Danio rerio: one gene and its partners. The protein of the gene in region 2 interacts with the protein of the main gene of each other region in a pairwise test. Links are inferred from orthologs where the notes say so. Each region holds a gene or a part of one and is shown on either strand. Other genes may lie near its edges.

The links.
Region 1: the proteins of abi2a (region 2) and gcc1 interact in binary tests that used the Homo sapiens proteins (3 or more experiments, as listed by UniProt). The link is inferred for Danio rerio from reciprocal best matches to the Homo sapiens genes ABI2 and GCC1.
Region 3: the proteins of abi2a (region 2) and ift20 interact in binary tests that used the Homo sapiens proteins (3 or more experiments, as listed by UniProt). The link is inferred for Danio rerio from reciprocal best matches to the Homo sapiens genes ABI2 and IFT20.

Annotation. Positions count from the first base shown.
Region 1 is NC_133179.1:20,655,010-20,663,460, reverse strand, and holds the start of gcc1 (GRIP and coiled-coil domain-containing protein 1), read right to left. Parts: upstream 5,738-8,451; 5' UTR 5,617-5,737; intron 4,043-5,616; 5' UTR 4,028-4,042; intron 3,816-4,027; exon of another isoform or gene 3,813-3,815; 5' UTR 3,765-3,812; coding exon 2,673-3,764; intron 1,129-2,672; coding exon 1-1,128. Other genes in the region: uncharacterized protein zmp:0000000938, read right to left, coding at 8,254-8,451. UniProt on the Homo sapiens protein: Probably involved in maintaining Golgi structure.
Region 2 is NC_133184.1:13,876,746-13,885,339, reverse strand, and holds the start of abi2a (abl interactor 2a), read right to left. Parts: upstream 4,941-8,594; coding exon 4,824-4,940; intron 1-4,823. UniProt on the Homo sapiens protein: Regulator of actin cytoskeleton dynamics underlying cell motility and adhesion. Functions as a component of the WAVE complex, which activates actin nucleating machinery Arp2/3 to drive lamellipodia formation.
Region 3 is NC_133190.1:26,249,139-26,257,606, reverse strand, and holds ift20 (intraflagellar transport protein 20 homolog), read right to left. Parts: upstream 5,738-8,468; 5' UTR 5,678-5,737; exon of another isoform or gene 5,674-5,677; intron 2,412-5,673; exon of another isoform or gene 2,408-2,411; 5' UTR 2,368-2,407; coding exon 2,241-2,367; intron 2,131-2,240; coding exon 2,045-2,130; intron 1,976-2,044; coding exon 1,872-1,975; intron 1,073-1,871; coding exon 991-1,072; 3' UTR 384-990; downstream 1-383. Other genes in the region: tmem97 (sigma intracellular receptor 2), read left to right, coding at 1-210; cell cycle checkpoint protein RAD1, read left to right, coding at 6,771-6,965, 7,049-7,157, 7,232-7,490. UniProt on the Homo sapiens protein: Part of intraflagellar transport (IFT) particles involved in ciliary process assembly. May play a role in the trafficking of ciliary membrane proteins from the Golgi complex to the cilium.

The DNA of each region.
Region 1 (8,451 bases), on a different chromosome or scaffold from region 2:
GTCCCGAATACGCTTGTCCAGCTGGCCCCGTAGCTCCACAAGCTCTTCCTCATGCCTCTCCCCATTAGCAATTAGCTTCCCTTGTAGTTGGTGCAAGTCTTCTTCTAGCCGATGCTTTTGTTTGCGCAGGGCGGCCACTTCTACCTCTTTGCGTGCCAGCTGTTCGGCATAAAGCAATAAAGTTGGCTCGTTGGGACCTGCTAGTTTAAGAGCTTGAGCGATGATGTCGCTTTCTTCTTGCTCTGGATCAACTTCGTCAAGGTCACCACCTTCCAACGCTGCACTGCTATTGATAATGTGCCTCTGGTGACTTCCGAAACCCATAACTGCTGATGCCCTGAGTCGCTCCAGCTCAAGGTCTTTTTCTGCCAGGAGGGCCATTGTGCGATCTCTCTGTTTGTGCAACTCTTCCTCAAGCCTCATGAAATTCTCCCGGTGTTGAGCCTCCAGCTTTTCAACCTCCTGTTTGTGTGTCTGCTGGAGCGCTGCAAGTCCCTGTTGCCGCTCCTCTAGGTCCCGTTTATGCTTGACTTCTGCTTCGTCGCTTTGTATCCGAAGGTTGATATACTTCTCCTTCAGCTCAGCTAACTGATCTCGTGCTTCTTCTAACTCTTTGGCCTGGTTTCCATCCTTTGTGTTCTTGTTTTTCAGAACCCCCTGCGCCCTCATTTTGTAGCGCTCAAACTCCTCTTTTATCTGCCGGAGCTCTTGTTGGTAGTGGAGCGCTGAGGCTTTCTCGCTTTCAGAGACTTCGTGGTCCTTTTCTCCTCCCTCCAGCAGCTTCTCAATATCTAGGCTCTGGTCTTGAGATCTTTGTGCAGCCAGTAGGAGTAACTTCTTCACCTTCTCAAGTTTGTCCTTTAACGCGTCTACGTTCAAGTTCATGTCATCCATGTTTAGATCAGAGCTTGTTGTCCTGTTGACTGCAGCCATGGCGAGGGTTTTGTTCTCTGTGTCGAGCTGAAGGATGCGTTCTCGTAGCCTCTGAGTGTTTTGTTGGTCCTTCTGTCTGGCCTTCTCGCAAGCACCCAAGAGTTCAGAGAGCTCAGATACTCTCTCCTCAAGACTGGCAACTCGGATCTCCTCCATCTTCGCCTGCTCTCGGAGAAGCTCATCTGCTTGTGCCACCTTTAAATATGCGGACAAAAAATAAGAATGTTTACATAACTAAAAGACCATGCGTGTCCAGTGTTACTCCTGAAGGGATTCTGCTTCAAAATGTGTTGAATCAAGTTCCTGCCTTACATTTTATCCATTCATTGTAATCAGTTATTCTTGGATGTACATCACCATATGGATGAAATTTTTTTTGCTACTTCTGCAACATTGGAACTCAGGCAACTGTAGTATAGAGAGAAATTCCTTGTTTAATGTCCATGTTCTTTTATATGTACATGTGTAAAGTAAGGCATTAACCAATCATAGTGTTGGTAATTTGAATACCAAGTAGAATAATATGCACCAGGGTCATTGTAAACAAACCACCAGCCTGATTTTACTAAGTAGGACATGTTCCAGGATTAACATCTATGTTGATTTTGGAACAACCTTCCAATCAGAGATAGATTTACCGTTTATATTAAGTTTAGGTTTACATTTAGGTTTATGCACATCTACATGATTGTTATTTTGTTATTATTCCCTCTGATAGTTTATTTAGGTATTAAGTTTTATGGGTTTAGGGGTAGGGAATAGGTATGGATTTCATTTTCTAAATCATGTTCCATGATCAACATTGATGTTAATCCAGGATTGCATTGTACTTGACAAAATCATGGCGTGCTTATACAAACCCATAGAATACCTGTGAGTAAAATTCACCTATGCATATATAACTGGTTTGGTAAGACTAAAAAAATAAATTGTTACTGTATCATGCCAGTTGCCTTCTAAAAGTTAAAATTATTTATTTTTAGTTATTAGTTACAAACCCACCATCAATCATGACATTTTTAGTGCCTTTTTAACCTGTTTGGCATTTATAAATCAGCTTATTTTATCCAAATTGTGTCTAAAACTGGTTATCACCTTTCTCGTTGACTAAAATATGTTGTCTAGCAAGGTAAATCATAAGCTATATGAAAATTACTGCACTAAAGTAAATGCATTCTTTATGTAAACTTGACATATAGATATAAATGCCTCTTTTTTGCTCTGGGTTTATCTCACCTGTTTTTAAAGGGATAGTTCCCACGTCATCATTTACTTACCCTTGACTTGCTACAAACCTGTTTGAGTTGTTTTTTTTAACACAAAAGAAGATGTGCTGTAGAACGTTAGAAACCTGCACCCACTGACTTTCATAGTGTTTTTCATGTTTCCATGCATTTCCTACTAAAAGAAATAAAAAGTTTAAAGGTTTTTAGCATTCTTCAGTATATCTTCTTTTGTGTTTAACAAAACAAAAACAAAAAAACAAGACAAAATAACTAGTTTAGAACAAGTCAAGTGTGAATAAGTGATGACAGAATTTTTCTTTTTGGGCAAACAATCCCTTTAACAACAGAAGGTTGTAACTTTTTTTATTTAAAAAAGTCAGCACTTCAAGATTTGTAAAAAAAAATCTGTTCTTTGACAGAGAATTGCCAGTATTTATTATGACTACAACAAATATTAGGCATTATGTGGACTTCCATCACAAATCAGTAACATACGACCTCTTTAAAACGTACCTTTCTGATTTCCTGCTGAAGTTGCTGATTGAAGTGAGCTTTGAGGTCTGCGTTCTCTTGCTGAAGCTCCTCCACCCGTGGGTCAGGTTTACTGTTCTCCACCGCTGCAGCCTTCAGGCTCTTCTTCAGCTCATCCCGTTCCTGAATGATCTCTTTCAGCTGCGACTCATAATCTAGCCCTCGGTCTGCTGCCTGCATGGCTTCAGCCAGCGTCGCCCGTGCGTCCTCCAGTTTGAGTTCTGCATCCTGTCTCAGTCCCCTCTCTTCCTGCAGGAGTTTCTGAAGCTCTCGGAGCATGAGCGCATGATCGCCCTGCTCCTGCTCCCGTTCATGCTGCTGGGTTATGACTCTTGCTTTGCTCTCCGCAAACTGCTCCTGCAGGTTTTGAAGCTCGGCCTGGTGCTGCTTCTTATCTTCCTCCAGCCTAGCCTGCAGCTCCTCCAGTTCCTGCTTCATTTTCCGCTTGTCCGCCTGAAATGAAGCTTCCATTCTGGACTTTTCTTGGGTAACAGTGGCCAGGGAACTGGTCAGTGTGGACAGCTGCGTCTTAAGTTGGATGACCCGGCGATCAGTGTCTGCCACCTGTGGTGTCGGCTCTGAACATCCACTGCTGCTGGTGCTTACGCCACTTTCAGACCCACTTGCCTCCTCAGACTGCTGGGGTGAAGTGTGTACAACAGCCCCAGCTGTGGCTCCATCTACAGCACAGCTTTGATCGTCCTCGATTTGGTCTCCTTTAGTGCTGTTGCTCGTCACGCTAGTGGCTGTTTCAGCAGAGGCTGCTGTATCCAGGCTGTCTTCACTATGAAGTGAACATCGGTCATCTCCAAGATCAGAAGGCAAAGCTCTGCTTCCTGAAGCTTCACCAAATGAGAGGTTATCAACACGACTTAAATCGACCTCTTGAGAAATGGTCAGAACCTTCAGACTGGCTTCCAAGGCTTCTTTTTCTTTAAGCAGGCTTTGGTAAGCTCTGACAACATCTTTAAAGCGTGTCTGATACTTTACAAGCTGCTTCTTCTGCACTTCAATGGTTTCCAGGAGTTCTTTTTTGCTTGGGCCTCCACCAAAGCTCATACCGAACTTCTCCATGGTTAATCACCGTCAGTCAGGTTTCATACTCTCCGATATGATCTCCACCTGCTAAGTAAACACAGATTTATTATGATTGTGAAACGAAGAAGGGCAATATGAATCAAGCAGCATCTTTCTTAATATAAAGAGTTCAGATGCAAAAACATCTTGTTATTTTCCTCTCAAATTAGCGTTTTTCTCTCCAACTCTTGTGCTGAGTAATTTGATTTTTATAGTCACAAACAAGTTCTTTTCATTGATTTTAAAGTAAAATAACTCACCTTACACATAGGAGGCTGGAAAAAAAAGAACATTTTAGGATAAATTTTCAGACAGCATTTAGAGGTTTTTGCATCTGAACTCTTCATATATGGATCTTATATTGGATCCATGTCACAATAGTTTCAACATTATCATTAATGTTTGTTTCACACTTCACTAAAACATGTTTAAAACTATTTTGTGTTTTTGTTATTCTTTGAGAGCTTTTGTCTGGTATATTTAAAATAAATCAAACTATTATTTACTGCTATTTATGAACAATATTCACACTAAAGCTGGTCAATTTCTCGTTTCAGAACCTATAATTGATCTAATTTTTCCAGGTCCATTTTTTCCAATTACTTTCCCTACTGGGTGTGGAGTCACGTGACCCCACTCTGTTAAAGCTGATTTATACTTCTGCAGCCACTTTGCAGCCATAACTGATCTCTTGTCAAGTAGGACAATGAACCCATTTTTGAGCTTTGCACTACATTGATGATGATTGGAAACTGTGCCAGAGATTCCTTGAGATTGCATGTTTTCCATTACATGTAAAGTTATTATTTACATGAAAATATTTGTTTACAGAAGATGCAAGAAATGCACTGTTTAAAATATAATTTACATGACATACAATGATTATTTTATTTAGAAGAGATACTGCTTAGTTTCTAGTTTTAATATGAAAAACATTAAACAATTTAATTTGTTTCCAAAAGTGCAAGTTGTTTATTTTCACTTTTTTATACAAGAAAAGTTGGTTTTAGGTAATGTGTTTTAATTTCAGTTCTTCAACTTTTATGTTCAATAAATAATCATAGATAGTACATAGAGTGTGTTTCCTTCAGTTATTTTTAAATCAAGTAATGCACCCACATGTAATGCATTGAGGCATCTCTTACTTGTAAAAAAAATAAAATAAAATGAGCATATTAGTGAACTATTATCAGTGATCTAAGGGCAAAAAATCAATAAATAATCGTAATCATTATTCGCAATTGAGTTCAAATGTTCAATTAATACAAATTTTGATTTTACACTAGATCGCCAAACCCTATGTCACAATGGTTTTATCATTATCATTAGGGTTTGTATCACACTTTATTAAAAACACGCCTATTTTGTGTTTTTGTTAGTCTTTGAGATTGTTTTTGTCTGGTGTATTTAAAATAATTCTGACTATTATTTACTGCTATTTATGAACAATATTCACGCTTTATGGAATGGACTGTACTAACAAATAAATATAATAGCAATAACAAAAAATGTCTTGTTTCTGCTGGTCTTTGGCACTTCTCTTGTCCGGCAAGTTCGGAAAATACTGACTACTACTAACTACTACTTTTATTAATTATGCATAATAAGAGAGCACTTGGACATAAAATCATGAGACAAATGATTAGACAAACATATATAACTGACAGTTGACTTTTCTAGTTTCTGTCTTATTATGTTCGGTGTATTAAAATAACGTTACCGACCAACGTTAATTATAGTTCATTGGTTGTCTTTAGCTAGTTAGTTAGCAAGGTTTAAATGTATAACAATAATGTATCAAATCCCACATCGTGACATATAGGTTAAATAAACTGTGAATCAAGCATACCTGAATGTGCTTTTAGGTTAGTTTCATGTTCATATAAATATATTTAAAGGCAGAAAAAGCCTGAAATGTTGCAGTAACCCGAGTACGTGTCGTGTTTACTTCCAGACGTCGCTTCCTGGATGGGAACTGGGAAGTGACGTTTGAATGTTGATTAAAAGCTCGAGTGTATTATAAAGTAAGTATTACTATTTCATTAAAAAACACAATTCGATGTATTTTGACACAATATTCTATTTTAAAATGTTGTCAATATACAAATGTGCCGACAAAACATTGTGAAATACATTTCACAATGAACTACGAGCAGATAAGTTGCTGTTGAGATGTATACTATTTTCGTTGATTTGTGTTTGTTCATATATTAAATGCTAAAACAATTTACATGTTATTCAAAATACTCTTGTTACAATTTAGGGCTGATTTATGCGTGAAAACGTTTGTTGTGTGCGCTTATTTATGTATTAGGTATGTTTTGTGGTATAATCCCTGATGTTATGTTGAAATATGAAAATGTTATTGTAGGATATAAGCATCAGAATGAACATCGAGATGTTTATTTTTTATTTAATCTTGTTATATTTTTGGCTAAATATGTTATACACAAATGTACATTTTGTAAGCGTAAACCTTTCAGATTTTTCTTGAAGATCTACATCTGTATGTCTTTGATTTCTAAATCTACTAATAAGAAAGCTGCAATAACTGTGAATCTGTTTAAAAGACACATTTATGTCTCGCTCCTTGGCATGTAATGTGATATAATGTAAATGTTGTTATGATAATAATAATAATAATAATAGTAATAAAAAAAATTCTCATAATTAGACACAGAGAGTGGCAAAAAGTGCAATAATTTATTGAAGGTTCCTCTTTTTCTTCTTTTCAAAATAACTGTCATCAGCACAAAACACCAATACTATTTCAAGCATTGTAAATAAGAAAAGTTGGCTTTTTTAACATTTACACAAAAGCAAGATTTAATCAGAGGTTACACGTATTAAACAAAGGCCCAAAATGGTGGTAAAGCATTTGTAGGATTTGTTAATAATATGCACAAAGAGTAATATGAAAATCTGACATCATGTGATATGAATCACATATACATACATAAAGTGCTGACACATATCGATTGTCATGCATTAATCTATCTCCCAAATAAATCCTCTTATTAAGAAGAGATTCAAATTCTTTGTTAATGGATGAAACATGTAAACCTGGTTGCATCGAAACAGGCATTCATTAAAAAAATAATCATTACATATTATAGCATTATATACACTATCTGTTAAAAGTTTGGGGTCCGTTTTTTCCTTTCTTTTTCATTAATCTGTTCATCAAGACAGCATTTATTAAATGTAAAAAAGTTAAATTGCTAAACATTTATTAAAATTTTAAATAACTGCTTTTATTACTGTATGTAGTTTCAAATTAAATTATTACTCCAGTCATTATTGCTTTTATCACAATCACCATTAATAATAATAATTAATATTAGAGTGATTTCTGAAGGATCATGTGACTCTGAAGACTGGAGTTATGAAGCTGAAAAATCATCTTTAAAATCACTGGAATAAATTAATTAATTACATGATAAACTACTTTTGAACAGTTATTTTATAGTGCAATAACATTTCACAATTCTACAATTTTTACTGTATTTACAAATAAAATAAATGCAGCCTTCGTCAGGAGAATAAGCTGATTTTAAAACATTTAAAAGTCCTACTGACCCCAAACGTTTGACCAGTAGTGTGTGTATATGTGTGCAATACACAGCAAAAAAAATGTTCATCACAGCCTGGAAGTGCAATTCTAAACACTTTATATTTGCTTAAAACAATGTATGCACCATGAATCAGAGAACTTAAGGCATGCAGTAATTGTGTACAACAGGATTTTCAGTAAAGTTTTGAACATGTTGTTCATTTAGAGGCTCTAATATGTTTCAATAAACCATTTGTGAAAAGCACACTTTTTACTTTTTAAATTTTTCCATTTATAAAAATAGTTCCAAGTCCCCTGATTGTATTGAGCAACTAGTCCTTTTTAAAATAAATAACTGCTGAAATTTTATTTCAGGTTCATCACATATATATAATTGTACAATTGAAGTCAAAATTTTTATCTCCTGTGAAACTTAAATTTTTTTTATATTTCCCAAGTGGTGACACAGTGGCTCAGTGGTTAGCACTGTCGCCTCACAGCAAGAAGTTACCGTCTAAGTTAGTTTGCATTTTTGTGTGGAGTTTGCATGTCCTCCCCGTGTTTGCGTGGGTTTCCTCCTGGTGCTACGGTTTCCCCCACAATCCAAAGACATGCGCTATAGATTAAATGAATAAGCTAAATTGGCCATAGTGTATGAGTGTGAATGACAGTATATGGATGTTTCCCAGTACTGGGTCACAGCTAAAAGGGCATGCGCTGTGTAAAACATATGCTGGATAGGTTGGCGACCCCTGATGAATAAAGGGATTAAGCCGAAGGAAAATGAATGAATCAATGTCCAAAGTGATATTTATTACTTATTATGAAATATTAGGGGAAAAAATGCAAAGATTTAAAAAAAGTGCTAATAATTTTGCCTTCAATTGATTAAAAAGTAAAATGTTTTGACCCTAAATATTCTCATTTATTGATTTATTGTACTGTAACCAATGTAATGCACTTCTTCATCACAGAGCAGTGCTTCTTCATGTGAGTCTGCTGACCACCAGACTGGCTGAAGCTCTTTCCACATAAAGTGCAGTGATATGGTCGTTCTCCAGTGTGGACTCTTTCATGTGTAGCCAGTGATGCTCGGTGAGTGAAGCACTTTCCACATTGTGTACACTTGTA
Region 2 (8,594 bases):
ACGCTCTGATAATGGTTCAGTATTTAGTATCGCCAATACCCTAAGCTCAAGTATCAGAATCGTTATCGCGAAGGGAAAAAGCGTGTATAAGTCACTGTATACTAAAGAAAGCTAACGCTAATGAATCAACAACAAATTCCTATCAGTTTCTTATAAACAAACAAATGTGTAGTTTTTCCAGCACATTCTCAACATGGAAATAAAGCCTTAAGAAAAGTGTGTGTCAAATTATCTCCATGGTTGCCATTAAAACAAACATTTAGAAAGTGCGTCCCCCACCTTCCCTGAGTCCATGAGGATTCGCAACAGACCATTGAGTCATTTCATAACATCCATACATGGTTCCAACTACAACTGGGACTCTCCACAACAAAAGATAATCAAAACAAGCTGGACAACCTAGTATAGACCCCGCTACAAACACACCTTAAAGCATTCGTATACTTCCCTTGTCATGTTCCACTCAATCTTGTGCCCACACAATCTAGTGTCCACATAGCTTTTAAAGTATATTCAACTATTGATGGACAAGCTTGCTACAGTCGAAATAACACTTTGCACTTGAATGGTGTGTGGACATTTTTATACAATCCTAATAATGGAAGAGCATCAAGAAGACAGTGTGCAGAACACTGCTAAACACAGAGGTATACTTTGTGCTTAAAAAAACATAAAAAATAAAACACTTTCACTCTAAAATCCAAGTGCTGGCACTTCAGGAATAGATCCAAAGGCTGAGGTTCACAGACTCTAATAAACAGACCCAGAAATCTTCCACGAGGCAATGAAAGCAAGCTTATGATTTGTCTGATAAAGATAAGCAACTGACGTGATGATGCCAAAGAGTTTGACATATCTTTAATTAACAGAGCTAAATCTGTACAAGCATGTAACACCGACTGCAACTTCGTTCTGATCCTTTGGTTTCCAGCTTGGGTTCAAAACCTGAGTTATACTGATGATTTTTGGGTGTAATAAACCTCTCTATAAGCAGACATTAACCTTACAAAGAATGTCATGCTTCAAACTATGGTAGTCAGAAAGCCACTGTTCTACATTTATGTGATGAAAAAACTGTCCGTTTATTGAATCTATTATAGGGTTGCCTCGATACTGGAATTTGATACCAATCAGTATACTGGATTTTTTAAAATGTCTATTTCCAGCAAACATTTAGTAGCTGTGGAGCACGTTTTTAAACCACAGATTTTCCATTGATTTTCACATGCTCAACAGAAATGACTGTGACTGGCTGTGATGGTCATCGGTTACTCAAACTCACCACTGTTCACTGAGTGAACCACATATAGAGGGACACTGGAGCGTTTTAAAGTCACATCGATCAGCTGGTTTGTTTATAAGCTGACATAAGAGCGATCCATTGATGAATCGCCGCTTTAAAAGACTCCAAATGGAAATGGGCGTTTTTTAAATTTCAGTACCGATTGAAATTGAATTCCGATGTAAGGACAACCCAGATATTCCTTTTTAATATATAACTAAATAACATTAACACATGCTGCTTTTGAAGCTACGTGTATAATCAGACAATTATTCAATGACTTTTAATGGCAGTTCCACTGTTCCAAGTAACAAATGAATCAATAAATACTTTTATTCATTAAAGGCTCATTAAATTGATCAAATGTCGCACTGAAGACTGCTGCAGGTGTTTTAACTAATTGAACTAATATAAGATACAGTTTGTGACGATATGCTAACCTTGGATTAGTAATGTAATGTATTTTTTTATTTAATGCCATATCAGCAACCAAGGCTATTTTCATGGCAGGAATCTTTCAACAATAAATATACAATTTAAAAATCAACAAACAAAAAAACAAATTAAATAAGATTTTTTGTGTTAATACATGATAAAAATTCTAAAATCTTTTCTGTTTTCACTTTGTTAAAAATGTCCTTCAAAGAGTTCATTTCATAAAAAAGGCTTCTGGAATTAGTAAAAGCAGGACAGTCCAGTAAGGGTAGGGTTTTCACCTTGGAGCAAAAAACCATGTGGTATTCTCGTATGCCCAATACGACATCTGGTAAAAACTACTTGATCAAATCGATTGTTAAAATGTCTTTAAATTCTGTGTGAAATTTCAGGTTGGATTTCATGTAATTTATTGTTTTCTAATGCATCCCATTCCTTTTGCCACTTGTTTAAAATGCAAGCGTTGATAAAAGGTTTCATCTCTGATGGAGGAATTTGGCATTTGATCACTACTTGCTTCAAAGCATCTTTAGCAGCTGCATCAGCTCGCTCATTGCCTGAAAGTCCAACATGTCCTGGAACCCAGCAAAAAATGATGTGATAAAACTGATTTTGTGCTAACCTTGGATTAAAAATAGTAGATATTCTGACTTAGTAATATTAATATAATATAGCAATATTGGCATTATAGTATACTGATTATTTTTAAATATCTAGGTAACAACAACAACTTTTTCCCCATTGAACACAATATATTTCAATATTTTGGAACAGTAAATATGTCAAAATAATTAAAATAAATCATTGATTCTTCATTCGTTTCAAAAGCACAGATTTCTTTACTTGAAAATGCATCTTTGAATATCTTTCTTTTCATTGGATATAAATAAGGCAGTGAAAAACACTGTTCGGGTCCAAAGCATGCTTGGATGAAGTTACAAGTCTTTAACAAGTAAAAAATCTGTATATATATTGCAGGAACGATATAACAGAAAAGATTTGCGGTTTAGAAAAAAAACTGACTTTTTCAAACCACAGTAAACCTTGAAAACGGTTATCATCCCATCCCTATTATGTGCTTTTTTTAAATCATAAAACATCATTAGCTTAAATATAGGATAATAAAACGCAAGTAGTCTTCATGTGAAGAGCATTATTTGTATGCTGTGCTGCCTATATGTAGTGAGCTCCAGATGGTGGCATAGTTTAGTTACCCATATAGACATTCATTGATCACACTGAACAGAGAATTCCATGTCCAAATACACAATTTACAAGAGCACAGGATGGAAAATGTGACAGAAGGTCTGCTTCAATGACATTCTCATTACTCTTGTTCCTTCACAACTCTGTTCTAAAATCCCATAATGTAAATATTTAAAAACTGGCCCTTGCTATTAAAAAAAATATTGCTCCTAACAAACTCCTAAGTGAGAGTTTGCATACATCAGTGCTGAGAATCACAAAAACTGCTTTTGGATATAAGTCAAAAGATGAAGGCATAGAAATTGCTTTACAATTATGTAAAGTATATAATGTATGAGCAGATGTGCAAAGAATATTGTGAATATTACAGGAAAAAATGGAGGCTACAAAATAAAGTTTACTTTCTATAATTAACAATTTGCTTAATTCATTTGCATTAAGTTTGTATGCTTGGGTTTAATGTCATCACAGCTTCTATCTGCATTTTTATGTTTAGAAAAAGTGTACAGGAGATATAGATTAAATTAAGATTTTACCATTGAATTTTTAAAAAAAATCTAAAACAGACAAAAAGATTTGCATGGCTCTTCAGTCACCCATAAAAAAAACATAATTGAGCAATTCCAGAATCATGGATGTGACAATTGTAGTAAAAACTCAAACCATAAATTCACATAGAAAGTATATGTTAACATAATATCGAAACATCTGTTTATATTTTCCAAAACAACTAACCACAGCGTTATGGGAACAGAAAAATATCAATCTGTAAATACATTTTAAATTTTAAAAGAAGAAAATAAACATGCATTAAATGTTAACATGCAAAAAAAGTCAGCAGAGTTTACAGTATAACATACTACTACTAACTGTACAACCCAAAAGAAGTAATGTTAATCAAAGAGATAAGAGTTGGCTCAGTATGAAACAAAAATTATTGATTTCATTTTATTTGACATTTTTGAGAGAAAAGCTTTATTATGGATAAGATGCCTCTCCGTTATGGATGTGACAGATGTAAAATTGCTACTTGTGTGACTTTGGTAAATCAAATATAATAGTTTGAAAACATTGACAGAGACATTTCTGAGTATTTTTAAAGTACTGTAAAATACTTACACAAAAAAAAATGTAGAAACTGTATGTCTATTTTGGTAAAAACCTATTTTTTATGGGAAGGTTGATATTTGCATGGAATTGCTCAATTATCCAGCACTTAAAGAAATTGCTTTGAAATTTATACTAATCCAAAAACATGATATGCTACTAACCATCATGTCAAAAACACTATCACCCCAGTATTGATTGCACCAAAACAGTTATGATTGCAATGTACCAAAAAGCATATAAAATACGAATTATTTACAGATTACAAACTGACTGAAATTTTAGACAAAAATAAAAACAAAAAATAATCTAAAGGTAATGTTTAGACTTACAATATGCTTCAAACAGCATGTCAAGATTTCACTTCAAAGTGGTTACAATCAGCTAAGTGTCGTCTATTTTCACAATATAGGTCTACGTTTACAAGACTAAATGATTTGAATTTTATCCGCGTTGTTTTGAACAGTGCTGTCAGCTGCTTCACTCGCATTCATTATTGACAGAGCAAAGTTTCCCCAATGATCATGTAACTTGAATACTACCTACCTACACGCTCAAATCACTGCACACAGAAGTTCAAGCCCTCCAAAAGTAGCCACCGCTTAGTTTAAAGCCTCACCTACGAGTGTCATAAACTTTTATAGTTAATCTGAACACGGACAAGCCGCGGTTGTTTGTACGTACTTAGCGCTGAGCCTCAACAGATGATCAACAACCACCGCACACACATACACACACTTCCAGCCTCCCCAACTCCACAAACACATACAATGCGTACTCCTTCGCCGCTCACCTGTACGTAGTTACTTTCGCAGTACTCGGCGACTCTGTCAAGGTTGGTGAAACTGTCCAACAACGCTCTGCGACCCGCTGGAATTTCCTCCTCCAGCAGCATCTGCAGCTCCGCCATCTTTACATCTCCCTCTCTCTCCCTCCACGCGCAACTAGCGACAGGAAGTACCGCCGCTTCACCTCCCCGTTGAGTTTGGGGAAAGCAGGGAAGCGCGTCTACCAATCCTACTATGGCGAAAAGTTGAAATATAATATAATATAATATAATATAATATAATATAATATAATATAATGTAATGTAATGTAATGTAATATAATATAATATGATAAAATATAATATAATATTATATAATATAATATAATTAATATAATATAATATAATATAATATAATATAATATAATATAATATAATATAATTAATATAATATAATTAATATAATATAATATAATATAATATAATATAATATAATATAATATAATATAATATAATATAATTAATATAATATAATATAATATTAGGATTATTATACATCATGCAATCAAAAATGGCTGATCACTCAAATTACTTTTGTTGCTTGTTTAAACTACTTATTTAAAATAAGTTGAAACAACACAATTCTTAAGTTGTTTTTGGGACAACCTAATTATTTTATGTTGAACCTACTTAAATTTGAGAAAACAATTAAGTTGATGTGATCAATTTGTTGTGGAACTATGAAGCATGCTCAATAAACTCATTTCATTCTGATTAATAGTGCTGATTTTTAAGGTCTTTAGCTCATCAAGTTGCATTTGTTTGTTCAAAAGAGAGTGAAAAGATAAATATTATATCAATATAAAGGTGTCAATAGTGAAAACTTTGTTTTAAAATGTAATTTATTTGTTTGATTTGATCATTATTTACAATGTCACATGATCTGTTAGAAAACAAACATCCAAACAATTTGATGAATGTTTTTGCAGATCAACATTTTCATTTATTTGTATTTTATATAGATGTTCAAAAATTACAAAAGAACATCATCTATCTATCTATCTATCTATCTATCTATCTATCTATCTATCTATCTATCTATCTATCTATCTATCTATCTATCTGTCTGTCTGTCTGTCTGTCTGTCTGTCTGTCTGTCTGTCTGTCTGTCTGTCTGTCTGTCCGTCCGTCCGTCCGTCCGTCCGTCCGTCCGTCCGTCCGTCCATCCATCCATCCATCCATCCATCCATCCATCCAGTCTGTCTGTCTGTCTGAAATGTATTATCATCATTATGGTCATGGTTTACACCTCTCTCTCTCTCTCTCTCTCTCTCTCTCTCTCTCTCTCTCTCTCTCTCTCTCTCTCTCTCTCTCAATTCCATTTAATGTTGTCAGTGGCTTTGGTGTATTTCTCACATTATTTACATTTGCAAAACGGTTGATACATTTCTCAAAACAATTATTACAAACTGCAAAACCTATTTGATAACCTGCAAAAGTAAGTCACTTGCTCAAAATGGATAGCTCATTCCCCAAAAGCAAGTATTCACGTCAATGAAAGTGTCAGTGTCATCAAGATGAAAAGTCCTGCCACCATTGTTTATGAACATGATAGTCAAATGTCTTTGTCATGTTTTCATTATGAGAGTTTACTCTGTAAATATTTTCCAATGCTGAATAAGTCAGATTTTGGTGACACTTCCTGAAAATGCTCAAGACAGCACTAGATACTATTTGCACAGCCATTAGAAAACTACAGTAAAGATGTAGAGATGTAAAGATGCATCACTGCATTTAGTGAGGTATGTGAGTGCAAGACACTGAATATGAATGTTTAATATTTTTACTGCATATGCTTTTTGTAATTCTAATTTATTCACACCATTGTGCGAAAGAATAAATACACCCTTATTTACAACAAACATAAACTTTCATTGAGTAGACCTGTGCACAACTGTAAACAATATTGCAGTATACTGAACAGCATGCATAGGTCTGTAAATCGTTCATAAAATTGTTAAATTTGGAAGACATTTTCAAGGAATTCTTTTTTAAACAAATTTTGCTTTACAGATTTTGACAACTAGTTCAACATTTTTGTATGTCAGGACTCAAGTAATGAAATGAGGACTATTAGTTTTATGTGGAATGACTATTCAGCGTTTACAAGTTTAGTTAATTTTGACTGACATGACATAAGCAAATTATAATTTTACAAACAGCAGACAGAGTGTTGTATTAAAGCAATTGATGCATGTCCAAAAGCATTTGCAATTTGTTGGAAGGAATGAGAATCTGCTACTATGATCTCACGGCAATTCGTAACATTTTGATGTAGTGGCTAATTCGTATGAATTCGTACGATCTAATTAGTGCGATTTGCTCACCCCCAAATGACGATTGGGTTTAGGGGTGGGGTTAGGTGCCACGCCTCCTTTTTAAATTCGTACAATTTCGTACGACTGAACTCCTGCGAATTCGTACGAATTAGCCACTATACTGGCAAAACCTAAAATACTTACGTTTTCTCGTGAGATCAGGCTGGATGTCCACAAATGACTAATTGTTTTGAGAAATGCATTAATTGTTGTGCAAATGTAAATAGTGTTGTGAGAAATGCCAAAGTCAAAGTAAATGTTACAAATGAATTGCCAAATCATTTATAGAGTTTACATAAAAAGTAACATATATAATAAAAAACAGTACACACAATAGATAGCAGTAAAAAAAAGTGTGTGTGTGTGTGTAAATATAAATAATATAATATTTATTATATCACATTTATGGTGGCTTGAGAAAATCATCTCTCTCTCTCTCTCTGTCTCTCTGGCAAATCAGAGTTAGTGATTTATGAGACGTTAGTGATTAATGAAAGACCATTTAACTTTGTCATCACAGGAATTAATTTAATTATGACATTTTAAAAAGATAGAAAAAACAGCTTGTTTGAGTTTTAATACCATTTTACAATTGTACTGTATTTTGCAATGCTTAATCAAATATTTAAAAATCTCTAAAACGATGAATCAAAATGTCAGGTTTCATATGGCTGAAGAGCTTTAGCACTAATCATGACATAATAATAGCGCAATATGTATGCTAATACTATAAACAAAAGTAGGCCTAGTTATCTTATTTACCGCATACTTTTTGGCTATTATTTTTTCCTTATATTTTTCTTATGTTTCTTGATTTACTTGTTGTAGTTCTATTGTTTAGATTATGTTATATAAATCAGTGGTTCTCAAATTTTTTTTCATCAAGTACCGCCTCAGAAAAAAATTGTCTCTCCAAGTACCACCAAAATGAGCAGAATTGAAATACAGTAGTGTAGTAGGCCCAGTAAAGCAGCTACAACTCTGCACAGTTAAAAAAAAAACATGGCAAATTACCTTAGAAATATAGGCTATGTGTAATATATGGCATACTATATACATCATTTTTGATAAATTTTGAAATATATGTAGCATGTACATGTAATATTTCATTCCTCCGCGTACCACTAGAAGGAAGCCCGCGTACCACTAGTGGTACACGTACCACAGTTTGAGAACCACTGATATAAATGAAGGCAAACTCATTGTTTCTGCAATTTAATTGTGTCACAATTCAACCCTGTAAAAGTCTTCAGCTGAATGAAATACTTTTGTCTCGCATTCCTTTGTAAACAGCGCCCCCTGTGGTGTCACAACAATACAGCTTTCTCCATGAGTTCACTTTACATTATATTTTTCCTTTTTAAAACGACAGTAAAGCACGCCATACATGGATTTGTGTTTGCATATATTGTATACTGTT
Region 3 (8,468 bases), on a different chromosome or scaffold from region 2:
CCAATTTTAAGCCACATACTTTTCCACAAGTTTCCTTTGAGTCCACATCCGGGACCCCAAACTTTGAATGAACGTCTGACCCTGGTGTCCATTTATGCTCCGTACCTCATCATTCCCATTATGATACTGCTCACCATGCTCTTCAGCGCAACTTACAACTCACCATCTCTGAAAGGAAATGCTCCCTCAAAGGCCAAGAAACAAAGATAAATGCCAGTTCATCTTTCTACACCCTAAATTAGAGCACAGTATGTATTGATCAAATCCCAACAGGGTTGTTAGTAGTCATTATTTGATAAACGTGATTTAATATGTGCCAAATTTCTCAATTATATGTGACCATTTTTTAAGCTCTAGAAATTGTTTACCGATGACAGCAGATGTAAATGCAAAATATATTTTTATTCAAATGTTCTTCAGATCTTTATGAGCTTTGCCCAATGTTGAGATTACACATGGTAAATGTAAACAAGTAATAAATGAACTTACTTTTCCATAACTTCTACTGAAATTATTTTGGTTTGGTCCCAATAAAAATATCATGAGGATATGATATAATAAAAACGACATGGGTTCAAGTCTCAAACAGGAGTTGTAATCATACAGAAAACAATAGATTTACCTGAAGATGTCACATGATGGAATTATTTACAGTAACATGCAAATACTGTATTTCCCTATTGTAAAAAAAAAGATCAGATTTACAAACTAATTTTCATATAAATAGTATAAATAACATTTGTATATAAATAGTTTCATCTGAGATTATGATCTATGGTTGGAAAGATTACAAGGATGTGCCTCCAGGAACTGGCCATGCAAAAGCACTCAATGCTGTGAGGTTGAGGCTGAAACAGACGTCTGTTGTCTGCCATAACTGCTCAATTCAGTTCATCTAGTTTGAGACCTTGCACTTATTAGGAAGTCAATGTGAATCAAGATGCATAGCATCATTTTTCCTGTCCAGCAGAGAGAGGAAACACAGTGCTCTTATTTCTGCAGTATAAACTGATCAATGAATTCACTCTGCTCAGCTTCCACTTTCTGAAGAGCTTCATATTCTATTCGATACCTGCAAAACAAAAAGACTTTTTAGTCTTGAAGAGAAATTCAGAGCATAAACACAATGCTGTTCACTACTTGAAGTGGCTGTATGCAACATTCAGAAACCCTTGTCATAAGCAATATTGGTGGCCTAAAATGAACGGCATACAGTTCTGGGCAGATTACTTTGAAACTGTAGTCAATTGCTGATTACTGATGATCATGAAGAACTGTGGTTCATTTTAGGTAATGGTTTATGTATTTCAACTACTTTTAGATTACGAACTTTTCACTTACCAACTGATGTAACCACATGTTTATTTTGCTAGCACGCTGAAATTAATCTGTGCTCTGAATTAGTCAATTCAGTGAAAAAGATGTTCAGTGTTTTGATATTCGTTAATTAAATTCTGACCACTTACTATCTACACCTCTGATTACACAAGTTTGGGTGATATATGCTTAACCACGCCCCTCCAACAGTTACTTTGCTGTGAGTGAAAGATAAAAGGAGGAGTCCAAAATGTATGTATGTATGTAAGTATGTTTCATTATTTTAAAATGTTATATACTTCAATTCCAAGTTACAACCTAACTTTCAGAATCTGATTACGTAATGCAGATAACATGTATTTAGTTGCTAACTAGCACTGTGCACATGCCAATGCAAATGCTGTAATAGATTTATGGTGATGCTCTTTCTTTTGTTCTCTTTTAGAAGTAACAAGTTGGAAATTACCATGCAGTAACTGAAAAATGACTGAAAAATAGAACTGAAGAAAAATATCAGACCATAATGATGTATTATGATGTATTATCATATTTACCTTTCCAGTTGCATTTTCTTCTCTGCAATCAGAGCCTGAAGCTGTTGCTGCTGGGCTTCCCGTTGCTTTTCAACCGATTTCAGCAAATTTCTTGCCCCTATGGCCTGAAGGTGAACCATATATAAATACAAAACGCAAATATGCACTGCTAATAGTTTAAAACAACAACGTACCTTCATTTTTTCAGTTTCGGCTTCCTTCGCAAGTTCATCCACAAGTTCAATAAGTCCACCTACAATTTTCTGAAACTGTCCGATCTCTGTTTTCAAAAGCAAAAGGAGAAGTTATTGATCTGGACTGCAAAAAGCAAAGAAATTCAGTTAAGAGAGATAAACTTCACAATGAGATTAAAAAATAAAAAACACTTACTGTCGACAAACTCCTCACATTCCTCTTTGAGCTCAGTTGTTTTCTGGCTCACATCAGGCTCAAGTACTCGCAGTTTGTTGAGCTCATCAAAATGAAGACCAGCCTCTGCTAACGGGTCTTTAGCCATGACCAGAGGACCGTAACCTGCCTGTGTGACTCAATAATGGCTGATAATTATACAGAAACAGAAGTATGTTAAAAGAAAAATATGCATAATTTTATTGTATTCAATACTGACAAATACAGTGTTGATTTTGCAAAGTAAAATGTCTAGACGTGCCAGTATTCAATAATATATCACAACGATAATGAACATACATGCTTTATCACTTTAAAATAAGTAATAATTACTTATTGTTATTGAACTTTCAGAATGCATTTTAAGAATATTCAGTTTGCTGCTTTTGCAATGATGTTCTAAAAAACTTTTTCGCGTTAATCTGATGTACAACATGGCTAAAATGTCATTTAATTAGTTTGAAACGATGTTTTGCTCTGAACATTTATATACCAGCAGGGCCGGAGTGGGACTGCTTTTTAGCCCTGGAGTTTCAAGCCTTAGACCGGCCCACCTCAGTTCACGACTGACTATATTAAAATAACGTCATTTCTAATTTAGTTTCTAATGACAATATACAATCTTTTTCAAGGACACAGCTGCTTTAGAAGTTCAAATGTTTTTCATAAATATGAGAAGATTAAAGGGATAGCTAAATCTCCAACACTATTCTTTACAACGTCCTTTCCTGCAATATCCGAATATATATTCTGTGCAAAATTCTTTATAGATATCCAGTCCTTTGTAAGGGCGGTCACACAAAAAATAAAATATGTACACCTACATAAGTAACCCAATCAGTATTATACTAACACTAAAAATGAAAAGAAAAAAAAAAAAAAGATTATTTAGGTGAGGTTCGAACTCGGGTTGGCAGCGTTGTAACGCAACGTGCGGACCATTTGACCATTTTTTCTCCTCTTTTTAGATTTCTGATCAAGTTATGTCAGATTTATTAATGTACTGAATCATCTGATTTTCATTGAGCAGGTGTAATATTCACTAATATTAATTATTTGAATTCTTATATTCACTTAGGCGCTGCTGTCATCATTAACCTGCAGGCTGCATTTTGCTCACGGGGCTGCTAGAAAATAAATAAAAAGAGCGGAGCTGCGCCAAATAATGAATAAAAAGAGTGAGGCTATGGTCAATAAAAAAAAATTTGGCCTAGTGGCCAAAAAAAATGGACTGGCCCTCCCGGAATTCTCCAGATTAGCCAATCCGGGCCAGTATACAACTATATTGACATATACATTGTTTGTGTGTGTGTATTTGTACAAAGACACAGTTCTAATATTTTGTGCTCTATACAGAAACACAAATTTAAATTGAAACAAACAAGATGTGCTTTAACTGCAGACTGTCAGCTTTAATTTGAGGGTATTTACATCCAAATCAGGTGAACGCTGTAGGAATTACAACAGTTTGCATATGTGCCTCCCACTCGTTAATGGATCGAAAGTAATGGGATAGAATAATAATCATGAATCAAACTTTAACTTTTTAATACTTTGTTGCAAATCATTTGCAGTCAATTACATCCTGAAGTCTGGAAGTCTTCACCTGATTTGAATGTAAATACCCTCAAATTTAAACTGACCGTCTTAATTTCAAATCCGTTGTGTTGATGTATAGAGCAAAAAATGTTAGAATTGTGTTGATGTCCCAATATTTAATGTTCTCACTGTATATATACTGTATATATGTATGTATATATATATATATATATATATATATATATATATATATATATATATATATATATATATATATATATAAAATCTTTTTTAGACACTAGGTCCAATAGTACAAAAGACAATATAAACCACACAATACGTTAAAAAATACAGTTATGCCAATATTTTAAAGGTGACTGATAAAGCACCTCCATAAGCCTAGGGTTTAACATTAAAATGCTATTCTGAGAATTCTCTTATCGACAAATAAACTTATAGATCAAATTTCTCATCCAAAGCAAAAAATGATCAAACTCTTACATCACAAAATAATTCACCTGTACTACACCTAGGCATGGGACGATAACAGTTTTCAAGGTATACCATAGTTGGGAAAAGTCAAGGTTTTAAAACTGCTATAATTTTCTGCTATACAGTTCCTAAGGTATGTGTAAGATTTTTCATTAACATTTTTTGTTGTTGTTGTTTTTTGGGACAACAGTATCTCCAACAGAAAAAAATATTCAAAGATACCTGTTAAATTGTAATGAATTAAGTGTTTTTAAAATAAATAAAGACAGCAGAAGTCATGGATTCATTTGAACTTTTTAGTCTGATTTGTTAACTGCTCCTAAATATTTGAAAAATAAATATTGTGTTCAAAGGGGGGAAAGTTTTAGTTTTTTACCCAGACATTTAAAAAGAATATATTTCAGAGCAGTAATCTTAATACCGTGAAACTGATATTTTTTATTCATGGTTTTCATACTGTCAGAATCCTATACCGGCCCATGCCTAACTACACCATCTATGTTTTTAAGAGAATCTCCATACAATCATTGTATGCAACCTGGAGCTTATGGACACTTTATTTAATTATACCACAGAGGAGCTGTGTATAAAGAACTGCAATAAGTTCTAAAGAGGTTTAACTTTTAACCTGCTCCGAAAACTTTCTCCCTAGCAAATTTGCTTCAACATATAACTTTAAACGTTCCCTGTACATGTACTTTTTATCACTCATATCTTCTGTAATGACATGCCCTAAATATTTAACAGCCTTACTAGCATTTAAATTTTGCCGTGACATCATGTAAACACTCCTTTTTAACCTAACCTTTTTTATTATATTGCACATCATAGTTCTCTCTCTCTCTCATATATATATATATATATATATATATATATATATATATATATATATATATATATATATATATATATATAAACTTATTTTTATCACATGTTAAAGCAACTCTTTATTCCACCACACGAAGATAATACAATATAACGTGATAAATGCTTTAGCAATGATAAACAAAACAATCTGATTCCATCATGACAATCTCTTGCAATAAAGCATATCCCAATTCACAATGAGCTAGCTAACGGATTAGCTAGTTAACGTAGCAGGTTCATTTGAAGTAACGTTACATGAAACTACCACAGTCGTTACATTGCACCAACCACGTAAGCGTAGAGTATGTTTACTTAAAAGAAGAGGTAGAGATGCTATTGTTCACAAAATTCGCTTTGTTGCTGATATGGTCTGGTTGCCATTGAGATAGATAAACACAAACAAACAAACAAACCAGCTGGGAACTCCACAATCTTATTAAACTGTATATACAATATTTACAATTACTGAACAAAATGGCACTTTATAAAGTAAAATAAACTAGTAAATGTCATAACCCTACCTGACTTTTGTTTGGTTATGTGGCACTTCTGTTGGACCGACCGACCGCTTCCTCGCATCTGTCTGGCGACGGCCCGTCCAACTCGTGATGAAACGGAGGGGTGTACGAGTGCATCTTAAATATATTTATGTTTGAGATCTCGCCTTCTTTAAATTAAATAAACACCCTTATGTCTCATAAATAACTGAATAAGCGGTTATGTTATCTGTTTTGCAATAGTGTAGTAACACAAATTCATAGCCAACTTTAAAAACCTACCCCCTCCTAATACTGTAAACGTTTATGTATGAACTCGTCCTGCAGTTCTGCATCAGACCCATATGCGCGCGCGAGACAACTGATGGGAAGCTAAACTTAGTCAAAATCACAAGAAGAAGAGCTAATGGCAACAATTTAAGGGCGCCAAACTCTAAAATGATATTAATTTGTCATATTTCATATATCTAACAGGTGAGTTCAGCAACAGGAACATGTACTGTGTATGTTTAATGTTCGCCCTTTCACGGCCTGACGCCATTTTAGCTAACTAACTTAGTAACGTTAGTAACTTACAACTAGTTGCCAATATTATGTTTATTAATTCTCGTCACAATTTGTAAACAGCTGATAGAAACTTGTTCATGTTTCTGTTAAAGACATTTTCAAGTTCATTAGAAAAATTAACATTCAGATATCTCGTTTTTTTAATAAAAGACGGCGACAATACATTTTTCTGTGTTTAACTTGTTTTTAATTGTTATGGATTCCATATTTTAGTATTATAATTGACAATTATGATTATGTTTGCATTCAAAATAGAACATAGTAGCCATTCTAGCACACATTTAAACAACATTAGTTTTACTTACAAAACAAGTTAGAAAAAATAGTACAAAACAAATATGAAAATGTTAAAACTTCAATCTGATATGCAAATTTGATGTTTTTTTTTTTCCATTTAACGATTGTTATCTGTAAACTATTGGACCAAATACTGCCTACATTCTTTAATTAAATTTAATATTTTAACTTTTCTGTGAATTTATTGTATACAATATTTACTACTTATTTATTTAACATTTCTACTTTGAAATGTCATTACAGATGTAATAACATGCCTCTGTCAACTCAGTCCCAATCCGATGTTGACCAGTACATCCTGATAGCCAGTTTGGACAATGCAAGGAATCTGTCCAACATCCTAAAAGCCATCTCTTTCAAGGATCATGCCATCTTCAATGCAACACAGAATGGGTTGAAAGTCACAGTTGAGGACTCCAAATGCCTTCAGGCCAATGCATTCATTCAGGTTGATGTTAGCAGACAAATTCAGACACTTTCTGCTGAGAACAGTTGAATCTTTAAGCATATTTGTGTATTTTCTGACATCAGGCTGACATCTTTCAAGAATACATCATCAAAGAGGATGCAGTTGGCTTTCAGGTTAACTTAACTGTTCTTCTCGATTGCCTCACCATCTTCGGGGGAAGCACAGTGCCAGGTGTGTATTACAATTGTGATCCAGTCTTTTTTTGGGAAATGTAACATAATCTTTGTTTTTATTTTATCATTAAGGTGTGTGCACCGCCTTGAGAATGTGCTACAATGGATATGGATATCCACTAACTTTGTTCCTGGAAGAAGGTGGTGTGGTCACTGTATGCAAGATTAACACACAGGAGCCCGAGGAGCCCATAGACTTTGACTTTTGCAGTACAAACGTGACCAACAAGGTGATTCTGCAGTCGGACAGTCTTAAAGAGGCTTTCTCTGAGCTGGACATGACCAGTGAGGTTCTGCAGATTACCATGTCACCGAGCCATCCTTACTTCAGGTACAGTAGTTATGAACATGACATGTTTGAAGTGGTTTAAATAAGGGATGTCCAGATCACGTTTTTTTTTTTGTTTTTGCCTCCGAGTCATTTGATTTTGAGTATCTGCCAATACCGAAACTCGATCTGATACTTTTATAATGCATTAAAAAAATAAAGAAGAGCAAAGAAATAAATCCAGTATGTTCCTTATTTTTTATTTAGTTCACTGTATTTTAACATTTAACAAAGATCACTTCTGTGAGGTAGCTTGAACAATCAAGTAATAAGTAACATAAATTCTTCACTTTTGGACTTAAGTGCAACATTAAATATTTAAAAAATCTAATATTAAACCAAAAAGCACCTTATCTTAAAATACTCAGCAGGCAACGCTGCTGTTTCTGTGTGAAGTTAAGAAAGAGGTCTAACTCTGTGACATCGCATAACAATATATGTGTTAAAAAAAAACAAATATATATATATATATATATATATATATATATATATATATATATATATATATATATATATATATATATATATATATTGATCTTGACATCTCTAATTTAAATGTTTATTTTTTTTCCATCTGATAAAAAAATGCTTACAAGGTTTCTTTTATTTTTATAAAAAATTGAAAAATCACAGTACATTTGTGAAATCTTCCCACAATTTACAGTATGTGTTTGCATTGTGATATTTAAGAATGCTGTTCAGTCCTGTGATGGCAAAGCTCAACTTCCAGCACAATGTGTCCAGTCTTCCACATCTCATGATCCTCCAGAAATCATTCAAATGCACTGATTTCCTATTTAAGAACAGTATAAGATTTTTTAGAAATGGTTATTGATACAGTTTTTGTTTAATGGAAAGCTCAAATGAAAAGCATTTATTTGAGGATAACGTTATTTATTTTGATAAATGCAGGTCAGAATATGTTTTCCACTTTTAAACCTTTGGTGATATGATATAAGCATTCAGGGTTTTTTTAACAAA